2 linked regions of the Caenorhabditis elegans genome follow. The protein of the gene in region 1 purifies or fractionates together with the protein of each later gene. This does not show direct contact. Each region holds a gene or a part of one and is shown in the gene's direction. Other genes may lie near its edges.

Region 1 (5,850 bases):
ATATTCCGTTCCAAAACAGTTCTCCTCGGGGAGTACACGAGCTGCGTAAATCTACACATGCCGAGGTAGAGATTTCACGGCTATTCTCCCATTTCCAAGTATGAGCCCAACTACATCTAAAAATTAATGTTCAGGTCCGCGTTGTCATTGACATTTGGAACCAACAATATCTGGAGCTCGGCCCGAAATACGAATGGGTTCAAATCTTCGAAAATCGTGGAGCAGTTGTCGGATGTTCGAATATGCATCCACATGGGCAACTGTGGGCGTCAAATTATCTTCCGACGCTGCCAATGAAGAAGCATGAGAGTCAAAAGGTCTCGCCACGAACTTGAAGTTCGAAAACCGAAGCTGCGCCTTTAAGAAGTACAGTAACCTCACTTCTTTGCAGTTTTACTTGAATTTCATATTTCCAATGTAGTTTTGAAACAAAATATGACACTTACAATTTTAAAAATCGTAAATAGTAAAATCTAAGAAAATTTCGGAATGGGTTACTGTACTTCTAAAAAAAACGTACATAATTTTTTGCGGGGCATTTCAAAAACCGGTAGAATAAATTAATATATTTCAGAAACATTTCGAAAAGCACGGGAAGGTTATGCTGATGGACTATCTGGAGCAGGAAACTCTAAAAAAGGAACGAATAATCATGAGAAATGAGCACTGGACTTGGCTCGTACCGTACTGGGCATTCTGGCCGTATGAGACAATGCTTCTACCAAATCGACACGTGGAACGATTCACTGATTTGGGAGAGGTTCGTAAATTTGAAATTATAATTTAAAAATGGCAAAAATTCCGCTATTCCAGGTTGAAAAGCAATCACTCTCTGAAATTCTTCGTTCTCTACTCATCAAGTACGACAATGTCTTTGAATGCTCATTTCCCTACATGATGGGATGGTCTGGAGCCCCAACTGGCTCTTTTCTGACTGAAAATTGCTCATTTTGGCAGCTCCACTTGTCATTCTTCCCGCCACTTCTTCGTTCGGCGACTGTTCCGAAATTCCTTGCTGGATATGAAGTTTTTGCTGAAAAACAACGGGATCTTTCGCCGGAGATTGCTGCAAAAACGCTGAGCGAGATCGATGAAGAGCATTATTCAAAGAAATTGCAATAAATTTATTAACAACTTTAGTTAACAAGAACAAAACAATCGAATAAACATTTGAAAAAAAACAATTAACTCTCTCTAATAAACCTGGCTTGCACAAAAATCCGCGGAGCTTTCAGGCCTTTTTGATGATTAACCGTCATTCTATGTAGATACTCCTTCCGAACACATCGAAATCCAGATTTTTCAAAAACCTCCGAAAGCTCATTCAAATCAAAATAATAAGCTCTGGTGCCGTCTTGTCGAACATAAAATCGATCGGAAATTCTTGCTTCCCGGCCGAAACGAATCATAGCGTGATCATTGATACCGTAATCCCGGACTACAACAGAGCCTCCAATCTGGAACAAAAATTCCAATTTTATGTTGCTGGAAATTAAAAAAGCACTCACTTTTATCATTTTTCTTACATTTTCCGCTGAAATTTGATGTTTTTCGGGATGAATCGCGGATAGCACAAAAATAAGTGTAGCAAGATCAACTTGCTCTTCGAATGGAGATGAAACTGAAGGAATTGACAAATCCACGACAGATGTTGCTACGGAAAGCTGAAAATTTAATTTTAAACGTTTCATATCAGAGTTTTTTGCACATACTTCAAGCTCTTTTGCGCGTTCCTCCAACAATTTCACCGCGTTGTCCGAAAAATCGAATGCAAAAAGTTTCAGATTTGGAATTTCAGCGACTAATGGGAAAAGCATATTGCCGACGCCACATCCAGCTTCCAGATAGGAGATTTCTTTCTTAAATGAAAATTAAAAATTTTTCAGTGCAATTTCAGAATTAAAACCTCGAAATCTATGTCTGGGCACATCATTTTCAGATCTTCTGCACTCCAATTCCGATCCTTGAAGAAATTGTTTTTATTTCGATGATAGAATTTGTCCCAATTTTTTCGAGCGTCAATTTCCAGTTTATTTCGCTTGAAATCGCTTATACTCGTCTGAAAATTCATTTTTAAGCGTTTTTAAAAATACAGTTTTAGTTAAATACCTGTTTTGCCAGCTTTTCATGGTCATCTTCTGTTAATTCCCTTGAACTTTGACTTGAAAGAAAGCCCCCATCATCTGACATGTTTTCTGGAAAATTTTAAGCTTACACTAGTGTGGAAAAAGCAAGGAAAAAAGAAAAAAAAGAGGAAATTATGAAAAAAAAACAAAAAAAAATTAAAGTACAAAATTTCAACGACGCTCCGATCTCCCGCTATGTTTTGCGCGGAAGTTTAAATCACAGTTTCCAATTTAAATCTGAATTCAACAATTAAAAGCGACTAAATAGACATTTTCGTTCAAAATAAATATTTAAGCAAACATTCTTGAGCAATGTTCATAAAATATTGATCTTGTCGCTTCAATGTCCCCTCGAAACAACCCAATTTGCTACAGGCAAACTATAAGTGACTACAAAAGAATAGAACAATAGATCATCATCATCTTTTAATGAATGATATTTTGAACTTGCCTACGTGACAATTTACAATCTCATCGATGAACCCTCAAAGAAAACATTCTTATCATATCACTAATTGTCATCATTTTCATTTCGTCAGCCAGACCATGCCGAGTTCATTTTTGCCTTTGATGACTTGTTGGTCGCTATATAAAAAGAATACATTTTTTAGTATTTGTAACATCCCATAGCTTTTTTTCTTGGTTTCATACTTTTTTAAAACATCTGTGCAGACAGTATTTTCAGCTGCATAGGTGGCCAGGTGGGCTTTTTATTTGTGGCCGCGAAAATGGAAAGCTCGGCCACGAAGCAAATTTAGCTGAAAAATATCCTTCTTTTCAAACCCTATGCTCCTTTTTTCAGATTCAAAATGCCAAAAATTGCAATTGTTCAAGCGGGGACCCCACTATTTGATAAACCAGCAACTCTGGAAAAAGTTAAGAAAAATGTGGAAGAAGCAGCTGGAAATGGAGCTGAACTAGTGCTCTTTCCTGAAGCTTTTATTGGTGGATATCCAAAATGGAACAGCTTTGGAATCACAATGGGCACACGAACTCCAGAAGGAAGGAAAGAGTTTAAAAGGTGGGATGACCAAACTTTGAAATCACATACAACTCGAGTGTCTTTTGTTTTATCACAAAATTGTCAACTGACAAAATATGTGCCATTTCTTTTTCTACATTTTTTTGATGTCTTCACAATCGGCCGAGGCATAACTTTTCTGTTATAGATACTTCGAAAACGCCATCGAAGAGAACGGCGAGGAATCGAAGCTCATCGAATCTCTAGCAGCTCAGAATAATATCCATATTGTAATCGGAGTAGTTGAACGAGAAGCTTCAACCTTATACTGCTCTGTATTCTTTTACTCACCCTCCGGTTACCTTGGAAAGCACCGAAAACTCTTGCCAACTGCTCTAGAAAGATGTGTTTGGGGACAAGGTGATGGTTCAACAATGCCTGTGTTTAGTACAAGTGTTGGAAAAATTGGAAGTGCCATTTGCTGGGAGAATTATATGCCATTATATCGAATGACGCTTTACAGTAAAGGTTAGTAAATTTAATTTAACACCTAAATTCAAGAAATAATTAATTTCAGAAATCCAAATCTATCTAGCTCCAACTGTCGACGATAGAGATGTCTGGCTCTCTACCATGAGGACTATTGCATTAGAAGGAAGGTTAGTAAAGACCCTTGACTTCAAATTGCCTAGCCACATATTTTGAAACCTCTCGATCCAAAATTTTGAGATCTTTGACTCTAAATTTCGAGTCCCTTGGCCCAAATTTTAGAATACTTTATCTCAAACTTGATGGGTCTTCACCTCCAATTTTGGAACCCCAGACCGTTTTCGGCCCCTGACCGTTCAAACTTCGAATTCTCCCAAATATTTTCTTCCAGATGCTTCGTAGTATCTGCATGTCAATTCCTCAAATCCTCCGACTATCCCTTGGATCACCCACTTCGAAAAGAACACGGTGAAGATAAAGTCTTGATTCGCGGTGGATCATGCGCAGTTGATCCACTTGGAACTGTGCTCGTGGAGCCAGATTTCACAAAAGAAACGATTCGCTACACGGAATTCGATCTTTCTGATTTAGCTCTTGGAAAAATGGATTTAGACGTCGTCGGACACTACAGTAGGCCGGATGTATTCCAGTTGAAGGTCAATGAGAATTCACAGAGTACAGTAGTTAAGAAGTGAATTTAATTTCAAAATTTATTGTTCTAGTCTTGGAGGTGTGACTTCAAGGTCCAATGAATTTACAAATAAAACAATTTTTGTGTGAATTTTTTTTGTGTCGATCGCAATAAAAGGGGGAAAGCAGAAAATGATTAAGCGATGACGTGGCAGGGGAAGGAAAAATCGATCGATTCGATGAAGAAGAAGAGGACAAAAGTTGGAGGAAAATTCATTAATAATAACGAGACCAGCTAGCGGTTGAGCTTGTATAGTTGTGTGGGCGATAGCTGTTGAAGTGACGAAGACCACTGTTTCCATAACATGACCAGTACCATGGGGCAGCTCTGTAACGGACTCTATGCATCATTATCTACGTGCAAAAAATACTCACGTGGTTCCGAGATACTTGTTACTGTACATGTAGGAGCTCAAACTTTTCGGGCGGCTGGTGATGTCATAATGTGTTTCATTGGCAAGATAGGAATAGCCGGAGTATCTGAAACAATTTGAAAATTTTAGATACAGGTATAAATGGAATTCTTACCCTCGTCTGGTTGTTATCGGTCGACTTTCAGCGGTCAACTGCGGAGGCGTGTAGCTGGGTGTTAATCCATAATTCCTATCAAATGAATATGGCCGTCTGTAGTCTCCCTCTCGTCCGTACACATATCTGAAATGAAAAATCAAACAATTTTTGCATTTTAATGTGCTCTGTGGTTCTTGCCCAATAAAAAAGAATATCCTAGCTTCTTTTTTTATTTCTTCGATTGACATTTTGACGCCTTGAACTCTAGATGTTACACTAGAAAAGAGAAGATGCAGAACATTTTTTTGAACAGAAAATCTTCTAGAGATGTAAAGTTTGTCAAAAACATTTCGGAACAACAGGAACAGAAAAGCAGCATTTGACCCGCAAAAAAAACCCCAACGACTTACTTATAAATAGGATAACTCCAGGTTCTCAATCCATAAACATCATATTTCCTGAATGGTTCGTTTTCCGATCGATAATGAATGTTTGTGTGATATGGAGCTGTTACGGTTGCCAATGGAGTTCTTGAACGATGCAAATTTCCGTCGTTCACATTGTTGACGGCGGAAATTTCACGAACTGGAGTGTAACTGCGACGGACATGAGAAGCGTATCTCTTCTCATTGTCAACTGGTGTGTTCTCTCTGGACCATCTTGACAGGTATTTTTCCCTGAAAAATAAAGTTTAGTTTTATAACTTCCGCTCTTGATTATTTTACAAAGCAAAAACTTCCACACATATTCAAAAAAATATTTCGAAGAAATTCCAAAACATACCTAGAAATCGAGCTGAGATCGACAGATCTGCTACGGTTGAAGCGATAATTGTTGTATTCTGGCATAGTTTCCAAACTTTCTTCGAGTTCTTCTTCGGTTAGTCTGAAAATTTTTTAAAATTTAATTTGGTCCTCCAGCTTCTCCACTTGTTACTTACCTCTCAACGCACGGCGCTGCTGCAAGTCCTAACGTGTACTTTCTGGCCAACTTCTCCCACGATTGTCCACGGGAGTCGTCAAGAAGCCGTTTTGCAGCGGCTAGTGCGTTTGCTCTGGAAATTCGAAAATTTAG
Region 2 (6,155 bases), on another chromosome or scaffold:
TTAGAATATTCATTTTTATTGATTTTTTTGTGTCTCGTAGGGCACTCATTCAATTCCTTATTCCGTTTATGCAGGTGATACATGAGTTCACCAAACCAAAAACAGTTTTCCAGACAACGTGTCTTTCATTTCTTGGAGTTCCTAAAATTTTGATTATTCTAGTGAACGCCGGGAGATTTCGTTTGGCGTAGGAAGTGTGATAAGTAATTTTGTTATACTCTTTGTATATCAAACAATAGAAGTTCAGAACAAAAAAAAAGTTTCGGAAGTGATTCTAATCCTGAAGCTGAAATTTTATTGTTCATTTTTCTTAAATTTGAAGAAATTAAAACTTCCGGGAAATTAACTAATTTTTAAAAATCTGTACGTTTCTACAACTTCTTTCACCTCAAAATTCAAATGCAAAAACTTGTCAGTTTATCTAATTTCCTAAACACTTCGAGAGTGGGCATTTCATAGGTACGGTCGGTTTCTGGAATTTACCCTGGTCAGCGAAAAAAAAATCTGCTCGTGAGCAAGAATTCTCAAAATTGGAGATTCTGGTTCCAGCTGGTCGAAAACATAAATAAAATACGTTGTCTGACTTTTTTTTTGCTATAAATATCTCTAAATGTTCTAAAGTCACCATATTATCCCAGACAAAAATTCCATGATCTGTTTATTAATTTTCACAAAAAAATTTAGGTGATAATTCTGACATTTGTGATCTGAAATCGTTTAAAAATTATTTTGAGGTTCGTAAATGTAACTTCAAAAATCATTCTTATCAATGTTTAATTCCGGTCTTTCCAATATTTCATACAAAATGAACGAACTCCGAATTTGGCTTGATTTTATTTTAATCTTGGCATCTTGTGGTGCATGATTCGGCAAGAATAATTCAATATCAGAAAGTTCGAACATAATTTTTTTGCAATAATCTTTCCGCTTTTATTCGTTTTCAGACTCACAAAGACATTTAACTCATTTACTTTTTATTATTTTAGCTAGTGAAGTTTGAGATTTGGTCCCAGTGTTATTATTGATATCAAGACCAGATAAACTTGTTTCCGGTTTAACTCACAACAAAGCTAACGATTTCCGTTTGCGTGTCGTTTAAAAAACTTTACTCAATTGGCGTAGTTCTCTCTTTTTCAAAACGCTTTTCTAATCTATCTATTTTTCTGACCAGCTATCATAAAACCATAGCAACATAAATGTTTCCCTATAGAGCATCGGGTATTCTGTTTTTTTTTGATTGATAATATAAATATATCTCCCTCTAACCCAAATACACAACCAACAATCACATTATCTTTTTTCCTTCTTTTTGATCATTCCCACGCTCAAGTAGTCTCGCGATTTTTGAGTGTATTTCATTCAACATGCAAGTCAGAAGTTGTTCTCGTGTTTTTGTTTTGTTATTCACCTTTTAGTTTCTTTGTTACAGAGAGGCTTAATTGGGAATCTGCGGTAGTCAAGGAAACCGGGGGGAGAGGACCGCCGCTAATCATCACTACCTTCCTTCTCATTTCATTTAATCATAACTTTGCTTTTTTCCCTTTTCTTCTCTCGTGTTCTCCACAACTTTTTTTTTACATTTTTGTGTTGTCACGACTTTTAAGCCTATGTGATTTTAAATTTGTGTTGAGCTCATGCGCTTTTCGGAAAAATTTTGCGAACATAACGATTACAACTGGTTTCAAACAAAAATGTAATTTATCGCCATTTCATTTAAATATTTCTTGACTTTGACGGGTAGTGAAAAAGTGTTCAGATGTTTTTCGGTGAACCAAAATCTGTGGTTTTAGAGAAAGTTTCCAAATGTCATTTTGAACGTTCTTGAAAAACTGGTTCATCTTTAACATTGAGACAAAAAACAATTTGTGTTAAAGAAAAAAACATCCCAATCTAAAGTACAAATCTACAAATCTAAAGTAACTATGTTCTTCACGTGCTACCATGTTGCTTTTTCATGGAAAATTATGGCGTCACACAAGGTCTTGAAATTTAGGATTTACCTATCTCTCTTTAAGTCTAACAAGTTCTTTCGAAATTATATTGTCGTTTCTAGTGTTGATGACTTTTGAAAATTAGTCAACGAGTTTGGTTTCATCCCGAGTTACGTATCTATTTATTTTTTTTTTTTGGTACATATTCAGTTTGTCGCGCGGCTTTGAAATACGGGTTTCAAATAATTTTTTTTGAAGGAATGTTCTCTTGCATTGATGGATTTGAAAATTCTCATGAAAATAGTAACTTTTTTTGACGAAACTTGTACATTCTCTCTGAGCAATACAGTGGAAATTGACTTTATTTCCGGTGTGAAATCTACATTTTCGTTGCCGAAAAGTCTGTTCAGTTTGTCTCGACAAGCTTTCTGAAACTTTTTTTTTGGCATGACAACATGTTTTGTTTTTTTTTTTCTGATTAGTCATTTCATTTGTCTCGTTGTCTAAGTTGAATCTCGCTGGCATCCTATAATTAAAGTTTGCGTTCTCTATCATAATCGTCATAATCTTTGAATTATTTTTGTTCTTTCAAAAATTTCAATATATGTTCAGGGAAACATGGGGGTCTGTCAGTCATTTGTACTCACTGACGAGATGAAGGATCAGATCAAAGTTAACAAGTCAGTTTTTGAGTTACATGTTTCATAATTGTCGTTAATATTTCAGAGAAATAGAAAAACAGCTCGAAAAGAAGAAAAACATGCAATTGGAGCAAACCGTTCTTCTACTGGGGCCTGGTGAAAGTGGAAAAAGTACTGTCATGAAACAGATGAGGTATATTTGATTTTTTAATAATTCTTGTACATGACCTAATATTTTGAATTAACAACGGGAAAATAAATAGGTTTCTGATTATACCTTGGGAGTTGTGTCTGTTTCTTTCTGTTTACAGTTTGAAAATTAATTAATAACTATTATATTTCCTGTTATATGGGTAGCCAAACATTCTATTTTCAGAGCCATGACTGGAAACTACACAAAGACAGAACTACACGAACGAAAAGTGCTAATTATACAGAATTTATGTCAATTTTCTGAGATGTTGTTAGAATACGTCAGAGAATATATTTTGGAGATGACGGAAGACGATGATAAAGTGAGTTTTGCGACCTCTCGGGTTTTATTAGGTTTCAAATTAAAAACTTTTAGCGATATACTGTGATGTGCGAAGAACTGAAAATGGCGGTAATTCATGATGGAATAATGAGACCTGAACTCGCCGATACACTGAAGGAATTCTGGGGAAACAGTGCAATACAGGACGCGTATTCCAAGAGAGACACATTTCATTTGACAGATAGTGCCAAGTAGTGAGTTTTTTTTTTGGAAACTTGTAGCGCATTCATAGTTAGAATTATAGAAAAATGTTTCAATTGATTCAAAAACACGTTTCAAAAATGTCTGAAATGTTTCTTAAAATATTCTTTTATGTCACACAGTTATTATTTAAATGTTTCGAGTTATGTATATGTTTGTTCGTTCACAAATAAAACCAAACTACAGACATTGTTCGTGTATCTGTCATTTGGTCTAACGGAACATGTAATTAACAGGTCTAGAAAAAAAAAATTGTGATAGTGATCGCTGAAGTCTATGATGTTAACTTGTTTATGTTCTTGTTCTAGCAGGCAAATTTTGCAATAAAAAATCAATTGAATAACTACATTAAATTATCTCAAAATTGTGTTATTTGAACTTAATAATTCATTTTCAGTTTCTTCGACAACATCGACCGTATAAAATTGCCAGGCTTTGAACCGACAAATCAGGATATTGTTCACATACGGGTACCTACAACGGGAGTTGCACAAGTCGAAGTTATTATGAACAATATCAAATTGATGATTTGCGATTGTGGTGGACAACGATCTGAAAGACGAAAAGTTGGAAATTTAACTATTTCTTTGTTTCCTAATTGAGAATTTAATTTCAGTGGTATCACTTTTTCGATGAGGCTGACGCTGTTCTTTTTGTAGCGGCTATTAGCGAGTTTGATCAGAAGTTAGCGGAGGATGAAGAGACGGTAATTTTTCCAAACAGCCACAAAATTGAAACGAAAAATTAAATTTTAGAACCGTATGCATGAATCCATCAGATTGTTCTGGACAGTTTTTAATGGAAAGTTTTTCAAAAAAGCGGCAGTCATACTTTTCCTGAACAAAATTGATTTGTTCGAGGAGAAAGTAAAACATGTGAAGATTAAGGATTACTTTCCAAAATTTGAAGGTTTGTTTTCCAAGTTTTTGAATTCATAGTTTCATGTTTCAGGAGCAAACACAGTTTCAGAAGGTACAAAGTTCTTTCGGAGACAATTTAGAGAAGGGATTCACCCGGACTTCAAAAAAAGAATGTGAGTTTTTGAGACTACAGTTTTGTGTCTACTGCACTTTTGAAAATCTAACTATGAACTTACAAACTAAAAGAATTCTGAACGTATTCGACTTCTTGGATATTTTTGACTTTTTTGTGCCAGTATGGAACACTAACAGTACTAGAAAATAAAATGTAAATTTCAAAAACGTAATTTTACAGGTACACCCATGAAACATGTGCAATATCGGATCAAGTTCAAATAATCATCAATACAGTGATAGATACAGTTATTCAAGATAATCTCAAAGATACGGGAATGATATGAACTCCAATCGCTCTGCACAAATTATTGTTCTTCAATTTAGTATCTGCCTCAAACAACGTGTGTGATTAGTAATAATTATTCCCTATTCTATTTGAGTGGTGTCATTTTTTATTGATTGAAATTTATCGTGACTGAAACTCTGATGAAAATTTGTACTAATTTTCAGTGTAAAGTGAGAACCAAATAAGATTAAAGGAACATACATATTTATTCGAATCTCTTTTAGAAGAAAAATGTTCAATCGTTTTTACCTGACTTTTCACATCTTCTCAAACAAAAACATGCGACAAGATAAATGGACAGAATTCCAAAAATATACGGAAAGATAATAACAAGGTATACATCTAAAAGATTTCTTTGAATGAATCCAAGTGTCCTCCCATATGGATCCATTTCCGGGAACGGACCAAATTTTGCAACAAATTCAGTGTATTTGACTACGGTCTCCTTGGGATTTGTTGGTTGGTTTCTCAACATTTCTGCCAGTTTTTTAGAGTTCTTCTTAAAATGATCGTCGTTCAAAATTGAATAAATGGAATTTTTCACAAGTTCCCTTTTCCAAAGATCGTTTCGACTACAAGAACTCCTCCATGTCTTGCCAACATCAAAGAATTTCTGTTTTGATCGGCAAATACTGGTACCATTAATGCTGGTTTACCAAGATACGCAAGTTCAGTTGTGCTACCAAGACCTCCATGTGTCATGAATGCTGTTAAACGGTCATCATTTAGTAATGCGGTTTGAGGAATCCATTTTGAAAAATGAATATTTTCAATTTCTTCTGCTCATTGCAAATCATTTGTTTCATATTTCCAAATAAGCGTTACATTTGGTAAAGATTTAATTGCATTGAAAATTTCGTCTCTGAAATACATATCTGATTAATATTTTGATTACAACAGTGTGAAAATTATTAAAATAATTATAACTTGAATATGGAGTGGAGTTTTTGGAGTTTTTGCCTGAAAAACTGGCTTGAAAAAAAATGAATTCATGGCTCGAAAACTTCAAAAAAAAAAAAAAAAAAACTTCATAAGAAATAAATTATCAAAATATGAAAAATAAGAAAAAAATATGAAAAATAAGAAATAAATTATCAAAATAAATAGAAGCTTTTAGTCAAATGTATCTCTTTTTCAAAATATGAACCTTTAAAATGTCAATAGTTTGATGCATTTTCAGTTGATAAGTAGGCAAATCTTTCAGCTTTTGTGAGTCTATCGACTGAACAGGAATGGTTCATCTAATAGAAGTCACCAGGTTTACATAAGTCAAAAAAAAAGAAGACGATGTCTACTAATATCTACATACGTACCTGAACTGTGAAGGCATATCCACATTATCAATGAACCAAAAGAGATTAGCATTGTTTGTGGTCTTTTATCCAAAACTTTACTCCACTCCACTGGGAGCCTTTTCGATTTTATTTCTTCCATATTCACGGAAATTCCACCAATTGGAACTGTCTTTTGGGTAATAGTTCTTGGAAAGTCTACATATGGAATTGAATTTGTGAAGAACAATGA

Evidence for each region. The genes of interacting proteins can lie anywhere in the genome.
Region 2: the proteins of nit-1 (region 1) and gpa-10 fractionate together in Caenorhabditis elegans (co-fractionation; one large-scale study listed by BioGRID). This does not show direct contact.

Annotation. Positions count from the first base shown.
Region 1 is NC_003281.10:3,919,517-3,925,366, forward strand, and holds nit-1 (CN hydrolase domain-containing protein), read left to right. Parts: upstream 1-2,690; 5' UTR 2,691-2,710; intron 2,711-2,744; 5' UTR 2,745-2,827; intron 2,828-2,928; 5' UTR 2,929-2,935; coding exon 2,936-3,147; intron 3,148-3,295; coding exon 3,296-3,615; intron 3,616-3,664; coding exon 3,665-3,746; intron 3,747-3,967; coding exon 3,968-4,271; 3' UTR 4,272-4,357; downstream 4,358-5,850. Other genes in the region: ZK1058.3 (putative galactose-1-phosphate uridylyltransferase), read left to right, coding at 135-317, 575-760, 814-1,122; metl-6 (tRNA N(3)-methylcytidine methyltransferase), read right to left, coding at 1,185-1,457, 1,509-1,664, 1,713-1,859, 1,907-2,059, 2,110-2,190; ZK1058.9 (uncharacterized protein), read right to left, coding at 4,483-4,594, 4,642-4,746, 4,795-4,920, 5,187-5,453, 5,560-5,661, 5,717-5,830.
Region 2 is NC_003283.11:6,851,198-6,857,352, reverse strand, and holds gpa-10 (Guanine nucleotide-binding protein alpha-10 subunit), read left to right. Parts: upstream 1-2,541; 5' UTR 2,542-2,549; coding exon 2,550-2,611; intron 2,612-2,657; coding exon 2,658-2,765; intron 2,766-2,948; coding exon 2,949-3,087; intron 3,088-3,140; coding exon 3,141-3,301; intron 3,302-3,705; coding exon 3,706-3,874; intron 3,875-3,924; coding exon 3,925-4,014; intron 4,015-4,063; coding exon 4,064-4,217; intron 4,218-4,259; coding exon 4,260-4,341; intron 4,342-4,523; coding exon 4,524-4,629; 3' UTR 4,630-4,832; downstream 4,833-6,155.